Linked DNA regions of Mus musculus. The protein of the gene in region 2 purifies or fractionates together with the protein of the main gene of each other region. This does not show direct contact. Links are inferred from orthologs where the notes say so. Each region holds a gene or a part of one and is shown on either strand. Other genes may lie near its edges.

Region 1 (3,808 bases), on a different chromosome or scaffold from region 2:
GCCTGCTAGGCTTGAAAGGGTCGCAGTGATGGCTCAGTCTGAGGTTGACCCCCAGCAGACATCAGCCAGGTGTGGAGGCTGGATAGCTCACAAGTTGGAGCACCAGTGGCTTTTGCAGAGGACCTGGGCTTGATTTCCAGCACCCATGAGGTACAGCTTACAACTATCTGTGACTTCAGCTACAGGGATCCCATGCCTCTGAGGTACCAGCATACATGTGTCCTCCCTGCCCCAAAAGGGAGACTCTAAATAAAAACAAATAAACAAACAAACAAACAGATAAATAAATAAATAAGCGTTGAAGAGCTGTTTAGAGCACTGGCTGCTTTTCCAGAGGACCTGGGTTCAATTCCCAGAATGACATGGTAGTTCCTATCTGTACCTCTGTTCCTATCAGTCTCTCTGGCCTCTGAGTGCACTAATCATGCATTTGGTGCAGACATTCATGCAGGCAAAACATTCATACTATGAAAAAGCCAATAAGATAATACTGTAAAAAAACTGAACAAAGACCAAGCCAGGGTGGTGGTACTTATAATCCCAGTGTCAGGGTAGGAGAGACAGAAGGGCCCGAGGTTCACTGTCCAATCAGAGATCTTGTCTCAAAAGCTAAGGTGGGAACTGAATGAAGAGCACACTGACACTGACTTCTGGCTGCCATTTGCGCATGTACACACATGCAGACTGACACACACACACACACACACACACACACACTCTCACTAGGATGGCAGGTCTGGGCAGTGATGTGCTGTCCCAGTCAAGGGTGGCTGCATCCTACAGAACCCCACATGGAGGAAGGACTTGGACTCACCAATTTTTTGTCCATTTTTGCTTTGATATCCCTGGCAAGAGTGAAAAATGCCTGTGGAAAGAACAGGCCGTCAGCACCCTCTAGTGGTGGGAAGTTATTGGCTAGAGGGAAGGGAGGTCTGCCTCCTGTCCCCAGTCAGGCTCCCATCTGTCACCCCCTGTAGAGCACCTTGGAACAAAGGCCTTCCCCCAAACCAACAATCCTGTGAATGCGAGCAGGCATTATTCTCAGTTGGCCCTTGATGACATGAGGCTCATAGACCATGTGATTTGCCCAAAGGTATTGCGTGGTTAACTGGTTCAGAAGGGTCTGGAAGGATTATCTATCCATGGCTATGTTCTGTCCATGCCAATTCCTTTTTTTAATTTTAATTTTAGAGAGTCTAGGTTAGCCTTAGACATCTGTAGCTGAACATGACCTTAAATCTCCTGTTTCTTCTGCCTCCACCTCCAAAGTACTGGGACAACAGGCATCACTATCAAGCCTGGTTCCTCCTCTCTTTAAAGAACAGCTACAAATTCCAGTTTGCAAATGACTGCTGTCCCATGGAGGGGACAATCTGAGGTAGGTTGGATTTAGCATCTCCATGCAGTGTTGGAGACCTGGAAAGTGGGGCCAGGGGAGAGTGCATGGAGATGGGCTGGCCTGGACAGGGGAACAAGAATCTGATGGCAGGAAAGGAGTGTAGCAAAGGCTGGGGAGGGCAGGCCCAAGTGGCTTATGGGAGGAGTAGGAGTGAAGGGAATTGAACAGGACAAAGGCCTTGGCCACCGTCCTCTGGGTACTTTGTGGAGTGATGTGAGCGATTTAGCCCCCGCCCCCAGTCTTGATGTGTAGCCCAGGCTGGTCTCAGCAATCCTGCCTCAGCCTCCTGAGTGCTGAGATTACAGGTAGCTCTGCAGGTCTGTTTTTGAGTGTCACTAGGGCTGTGTGAGAAAAGCTGAGGGCCAGGTGCCAGGCTGGCACTGCCTTGGGGACAACATAAGGATGAGGGCACAGCACTGGGACCTGGATCCTCACTGGGGATGTGAATTAATAGTGTGGCTGAGAGGAACACAGCTGGGTGTAGGTAGTGGGTACTAGGTACTGGAATCTGAGCTTTGATTTCCCTCATTTGCTGAGCTAGTGAGACTGTGTCTTGAGTGCCTGACAGAGGGCATCCTGAGCCAGAGGCCAATCCCTCTGGATACTCCAGGCTGAATCTCCCAAAGGAAAGCCCCTCCAGCCCTGGAGCACTGATCCCACAAGCCCATGGCTCCCTGCAGGATCTGACTGGACTCACATTCTCCACATTGATGTTGGCCTTTGCACTGGTCTCCATGAACTTGATCCCATAGTCGAGTGCCAGCTGTAATGAAGGCGACACATGAACACAGTGTGGACTCCCATTGTTTCCTAAGGAATGGAAACTGGGATGGGCTGCTACCATACTCAAGCTAAGGGTGTTACCTTCACTGTGTGATGGTACTGCACACCACGTGGGGAGGGTGCAGAGGAGAGGAATGTGGCATAGCCTAAGCCAGCTCTGTTCCCTGCTGTGATGCCAGCTGTGCCTGGCCTTGCTTGGTTCTGGTGACAAGATAAGAGTTCACTGCCAAGCTCTCATTGCTAGCCACGAGGAAGCTCTGTCTTGCCTAGGGTTATCACCTCACAAGGATCTCTCTATCTCAGGCAAGTCAGGATGGCAAAAAGACTAGGAAGAAGCACCCAAGCTGAAAACGATCACGAGGGCAACACCTACCTTTTCTCCCCGTTCCTTGGACACCTGTCTCTTGTCATTCACATCACACTTATTCCCCAGTATCATCTTCTCCACGTCTGCAGAGGCATGCTGAGAAGAGGGCAGATCAGGGTCAACGTGGAGGGCAGGGTGTGGACTGCTTGGTGGCTGGCAGCTCATGTCCCTAGTGGTTGAACACTTCTTGACTGTGCAAATGGCTTGCACAGATCATGGTCACTAGGCTCCAGAGGCATGACTCCCAGAGCAGATGCTCAGAGACCTTATCCACGCCCTCTAGAGCAGTTCCATGTTAGCTTGTGAGCCATCCCATGCACACACCATGCTACATCTGGGTTCCATGATCTGGGTTCTAGGAATTGAACTGAGTATATCAGGCTTGCTGGCAAGTGCCTTTATCCACTGAACAACTTGCCAGCTTAAGTCCCAATGCCGGCTTGGATCTTTCAACTTTCTCTTCTCTATACATTCTAGAAACAAGGCTGTGCCTAGAACAGGCAAGACTTCCTGCTAAGTTCTTGCTGAACACCCAGGCTTGGCTCAGCTCTGACTGCTCTCCTAGAGATGGGTCCCTCATCAGTCCCTCCAGCAGCTCCTCTGTAGAAGAGACCATGCTTCCCAAAGGAGAGAATATCAGAGAGCAGCTCTGCTGTAGGGGAAACTCATTCTTTGCTCCCTGTCATACCTCCTGTCTGCCAGAGGATCACTCAGGGTATCCCCAAAGCCAAAATCAGAACTCCTCTTTTGACCAAGATGACTTCTACAGCCAGGGCAAAGGCCTGGTCCCAACACAAGCTCAAAGCTCTCAATTTCGTCTCTGCCTGGCCTGGGTGCCCACCAGTCTTGGGTCCAGAGCGAAAAGTGCTCCTTTGTGGTTTTGTAGACAGGTGAAGTTCTTGACACCTTAGATCCAATGCCCCACCTGCTTAGTCATCAGGGCTATAGGTGGAGCTGGCCAGGGAGGGAATAGGTGTGGCTAGCACCTGGACAGAGGACAAAGTTGGCTTTGGGAGGGTAGGCTGGACTGGCTGCCTCTTTATCCCTTTATAATTCAGGGTCTCATTCTATGACTACCTGTTGTCCCAAATGTGGACTTGGACAGGCTCATACCCTGTTGCACAGCAGCTCAAAATGTTTGGACCAAATGCTCATGTGACCCCAAACAGAAATGATTGTAAGAGCAGCCAAATAGCACTGTGTGGCTTGTGGGCCAATGATGATTTCAGGTGGACAGCAGGGGTCTTGGTCCTATTCCT
Region 2 (4,336 bases):
GGCAGGACACAGGCTGGGAGCTTTTAAACACACACACACACACACACACTCACACACTCACACACACACATACACACTCACACACATTTGGAGGAGGAGACACATAAAACACTGTGCACATGTGCAGGTAAAATCCCAGCTTTGGGGAGTCAATCTCTCTCCTCCCATCATGTGGGTGAGTCCTGCAGATCCAAAGCAGGTCATCGGATTTGGAGGCAAGCCCCTTTACCCACTGAGCCATCTCACCAGTCCATGCTGGGGGCTTTTAATACTTGGATTCACATGGTCTAAGTTGATCCTCCTGTACTCAGGCACGATTTACACCAGTGCTTCTAACCCTTCCTAACACAGTGGCCCTTTAATACAGTTGCTGCTGTTGTGGTGACCCACAACCATAGAATTATTTTGTTGCTACTTCATAACTATAGTTTTGCTACTGTTAATGAATCTTATCTGTGTTTTCCAATGGTCTCAGACAACCCCTGTAAAAGGGTCATTTGACACACACCCTAACCCCCACCAAGAAGATTGCAACCCACAGGCTGAGTGAGAACCACTGCTTTACAATCTCATCAGTGTGATTCTTGCCAAAATCCCTACGCTCTTTCCACCACTGCTATTACACAATCCACACCCAGGGCTACCTGTCCTCAGATTCCCAAAGGCCAGGGATCCAGTGTGAAGGTGTAGCAGTGACATACTTGCTACAGGACAGAGGGTCTTATCCCTCCCAGCTTCTGAAAGCCCCAGGGTGTCCCTTGTCTCCACCTCTGGACTTCCTACTTCTGTCACCTTCAAACTCCTTCCAAATGCACACAAGCTCCTACCAAACTTCTACATCTACTGAGCCCACAAGGCAGGCCCTTATCTGTAGGGCTCCAGCTACATTGTAACCACCTCCAGGTTGCCATACCGGGTTAACTAAGAGACTTGAGCTATCAGTCCAGCTGGGGAGACCGCAAGGAAGTCAGCAGTGTGAGATAACCCTCCCAGAGTGAACTGAGCAGGCACCTCTTCGTCCAGCCTCCTTCCTGTCACCAACTCTTGGTTCCCTGTTCCCTGTCATTACCTTGAACTTCTGTCTCTGAGACCAGAAGTTGCTCCCTGCACTAGATGACCTTATGCTGTATACAGTAGGCACTCATTAGATAAGTGAGCAAATCTTTAACACTTGCCTGTGCCAGCATATACATGCACACACAAGTAAACATACAAGTATAAATAAACATATATCTCTTCGTGTACACCTCTCCTCCTCTGTGGGGACTACATGTCAGGCCATGAGCACACATAGTCCCTGCTTCGGAGCAGAGGAAACCCCATGTCTGCAAAGGCCCTGTCCCTGTCCAATTACCAGCTGAGGCTAATCCAGCCAAAATCCAACATCATCGTCTCCTCCACTTGAGAACTCGTCACATAGTTCTCATCTGAGCTCCCCACTCTGCATCATCATCCAGACTCCCCCTGCACCACCGGAAGAAACCTGACTACCCACGTTCTCATCCCAAGTCCATTTTCCAAGGTCTACATCCTTGGCCCAGCATCCATCGAAGCTCAGCTTCCTGGTTTCCACATGACTGATGCCCCACTGAGCTCACACCATCCATCTCCCTGAGAGTGACTGAGGCTCATGCCATGGGGCCCTCCCAAGCAGCTCGGGGGTTGGGGTGGGGAATTCATAACCACAGGGCAGAAGCCTACTTCTTGCTCAAGATTCCGGCTTCCTGAGCAGAGCAAAGCTTGGCACAAGGGAGTCTGATAGCACCAGGCCTGGCTCTTCCTGACACATTGTGTAACACGAACAATATTTGTTTGTTTTTCCTTTTCGGAGCCTCAGTTTCCCCATCTGCACAGCAAGAAGGCTGGCTGAGGTGGGCTCCACAGGTGCTGCCTGGAGCCTCACTCAGCCCTAAGACCTCCCTGGGAAACACTCCCAGACCAGCCAACTCTGCATTTATGTACCATGTACAGGAGAATGCTTTCCTCTGAAGGGCATGGGCTGTAGGTGATCTTGTCCCATTTCAGGACTCTGGTCACCAGACTAACTTAGGTCCCTGTAACAGAGTCTGCCTAAGTGTTTGCTAAGTGAATAACTGATAGAACAGTTTGAGTTGTGGGCCAAGGTCCTTCAACAAGACAGAGCTGGCTTGCTTCCCAACTTCCTATGCCAAGACTCTTCTTCTATAGAAGGCTTTAGACCCAATCCCTGTCCTCTCCTACAACTTCCAAGGATGATGGCCCAGACTCCATTGTCTCCTGTCATTCTAAGGTGCTAAAAGGCTTGCGCTTCCCTCTTTGATTGCTTTCCCAAAGATGCCTAGACAAATTAGAGGAGGGGCAGTAATCCCACTAGAAGCCTCAAATGGCCCTGATCTTGGGGCCAGACCTCAGACCCCCAGGAGCTGTTCCTTTGCCCTTTCTCAGGGAGCTCGGGGAAGGCGGACGCTGCCCTGAGTCACCACTGACTAAGCCGGCTGGACAGCCCATGTCCTGGCCCCTGGCCCAGCTGCACTTGGTGGCCTGCACAGAGGCTACTTGACTGCCACAGCCTTGGAGACCACCAAATAGGCTGTACCTGCAGGTCTCTGCTCTACCCCGGGTGGCCCATCTGAGAGGGGTGTGTCTGAAACCTCCGACCCGGATCCCAAGGCAGGCGTGGCCTCAGTTTCCCGTTTGCAGCGGCACATCAGAGCCCGACAGAGGGGTTAAAGAGCACTCACATAAGGTCAGGCCGGTGTCGGTGCAAGATAGCGCAGAAGGCCAGGCCATCGCGGAACGAGGTGGTCATGTTGGTGATGCTCACGTCCCGGTAGCCCTCGCACTGCTGCCGGCACCATTCTTGCAGGGCCTTTATGGCGGCCATATGGGCGGCAGGACGGGCTGGCGGCTCGAGGAGCTGGCTACAGGCCCCTCTTGGGCCCGAGACGCGCAGGAGGCCCGGACCCGCCGACCACCAGCCGGGCTGGAAGAAGAGAACACCGGGAGACCGGCGCCCCACACACTCTTGACGCCTGCGAGGCCGCCGGCCCCGCCCCCTAGAGGCCCCGCCTCTTCAGACCCGCCCCCACAAGATCACGCCTCTTGAAGGCCTGGCTCACCAGCTCCAAGCTCCACACAGGCTCCTTGTTCCGGCCGCACCGCCCCAGTTTGGTCAGGCCACACCCACGCCCCACAAAGGGCACGCCCACATAAGACCACGCCCCCTCTTTCCTGGGACTTGAAGAATAGGGGCCCGGTACTCTGGGCGTTGGCTCCCGCCTTGGCCTTTAGCCATAACTCCCAGCAGAGGCGTCGGGGTTTTCTTTTTTTGTTTTCCTTGAGACCGGGACCAATGTAGCTCGCATTGGCCTCTAGCTTATTATAAAAGCAAAGATGACCTTGTGTTTCAGATTCCCCAGCCTCCACCTCCTTTACTGCTCTCGGATTACAGGCTTGTGCCCCACACCATGCCTGGTTTGTGCAGTGCTGGGTATGGACCCTGAGGCTTCCTGCATGCCAGGCAAGCATACCACCAGCTGAGCTACACTCCCAGCTACGGTTTTCTTTCTTACTTTTAATTCTATCTTATGCATATGGGCTTTGGTCTGAAAGTGTATCTGCACCCCTTGTGTGTCTGGTAGCCCGGGAGACCTGAAGAAGGCCCCTGCTCTTCTAGAATCGGAGTTGGAGCGGGTTGTGCTGCCATGTGGGTGCTGGAAACTAAACCCCAGGACTTCTGGAAGAGCAGCAAATGCTCTTAACGACTGACCCATCTCTCCAGTCCAAACCCGCAACAGCGTTCTTTTATTTTATTTTATTTTTTAAAGTTGAGGCCAAGCTGCCTAGTCTGCCTAACTCATCCTCCTGCCTCAGCCTCTAGAGTTGGCAGCCTGTTGACAAATGGGAAAACAGAGGCTAGGGTAGATGCAACCTCTGAGGAGTGTCCCTTTTCAGGGTCTACAAAGCTGTCTGGTTGGAAGCTGGGGTGGACCTTGCTGAGTAGTGTGCTTTCCCATCAGACAGATACTGGTCGTGATGGCACACACCTGGAATCCCAGCCCTCAGCGGGGAGAAGCTGGAAGATCAGAAATCCAAGCTTATCCCAGGATACATATGGGGTGCAAGGCTGACATGGGCGACCTGAGACCCTGTCTCAAACTTTAAAATACTGTCTGCTTTCCCTTCACCCTCAAGGGTGCCAAGCCAGCCAGAATAACCGCTCTACATTCACAGAGGAGGAAAGGAAGGCTGAGGGGGCACGCTCCAGGGGTCTTGAGACAGGAGACTCTTAGCCTCTTTCAAGTCTCTGAGGATGCCAGGGGTGATTAAGGAAAGTACCTCTCCCAGGTCCTCAGTT

What was found.
Region 1: the proteins of Micall2 (region 2) and Rab8a purify together in Homo sapiens (co-immunoprecipitation; 3 studies listed by BioGRID and IntAct, with this or other methods). This does not show direct contact. The link is inferred for Mus musculus from reciprocal best matches to the Homo sapiens genes MICALL2 and RAB8A.

Annotation. Positions count from the first base shown.
Region 1 is NC_000074.6:72,174,677-72,178,484, reverse strand, and holds part of Rab8a (ras-related protein Rab-8A), read right to left. Parts: intron 2,646-3,808; coding exon 2,556-2,645; intron 2,163-2,555; coding exon 2,097-2,162; intron 866-2,096; coding exon 815-865; intron 1-814. UniProt on the Homo sapiens protein: The small GTPases Rab are key regulators of intracellular membrane trafficking, from the formation of transport vesicles to their fusion with membranes.
Region 2 is NC_000071.6:139,733,298-139,737,633, forward strand, and holds the start of Micall2 (MICAL-like protein 2), read right to left. Parts: upstream 3,037-4,336; 5' UTR 2,864-3,036; coding exon 2,721-2,863; intron 1-2,720. UniProt on the Homo sapiens protein: Effector of small Rab GTPases which is involved in junctional complexes assembly through the regulation of cell adhesion molecules transport to the plasma membrane and actin cytoskeleton reorganization.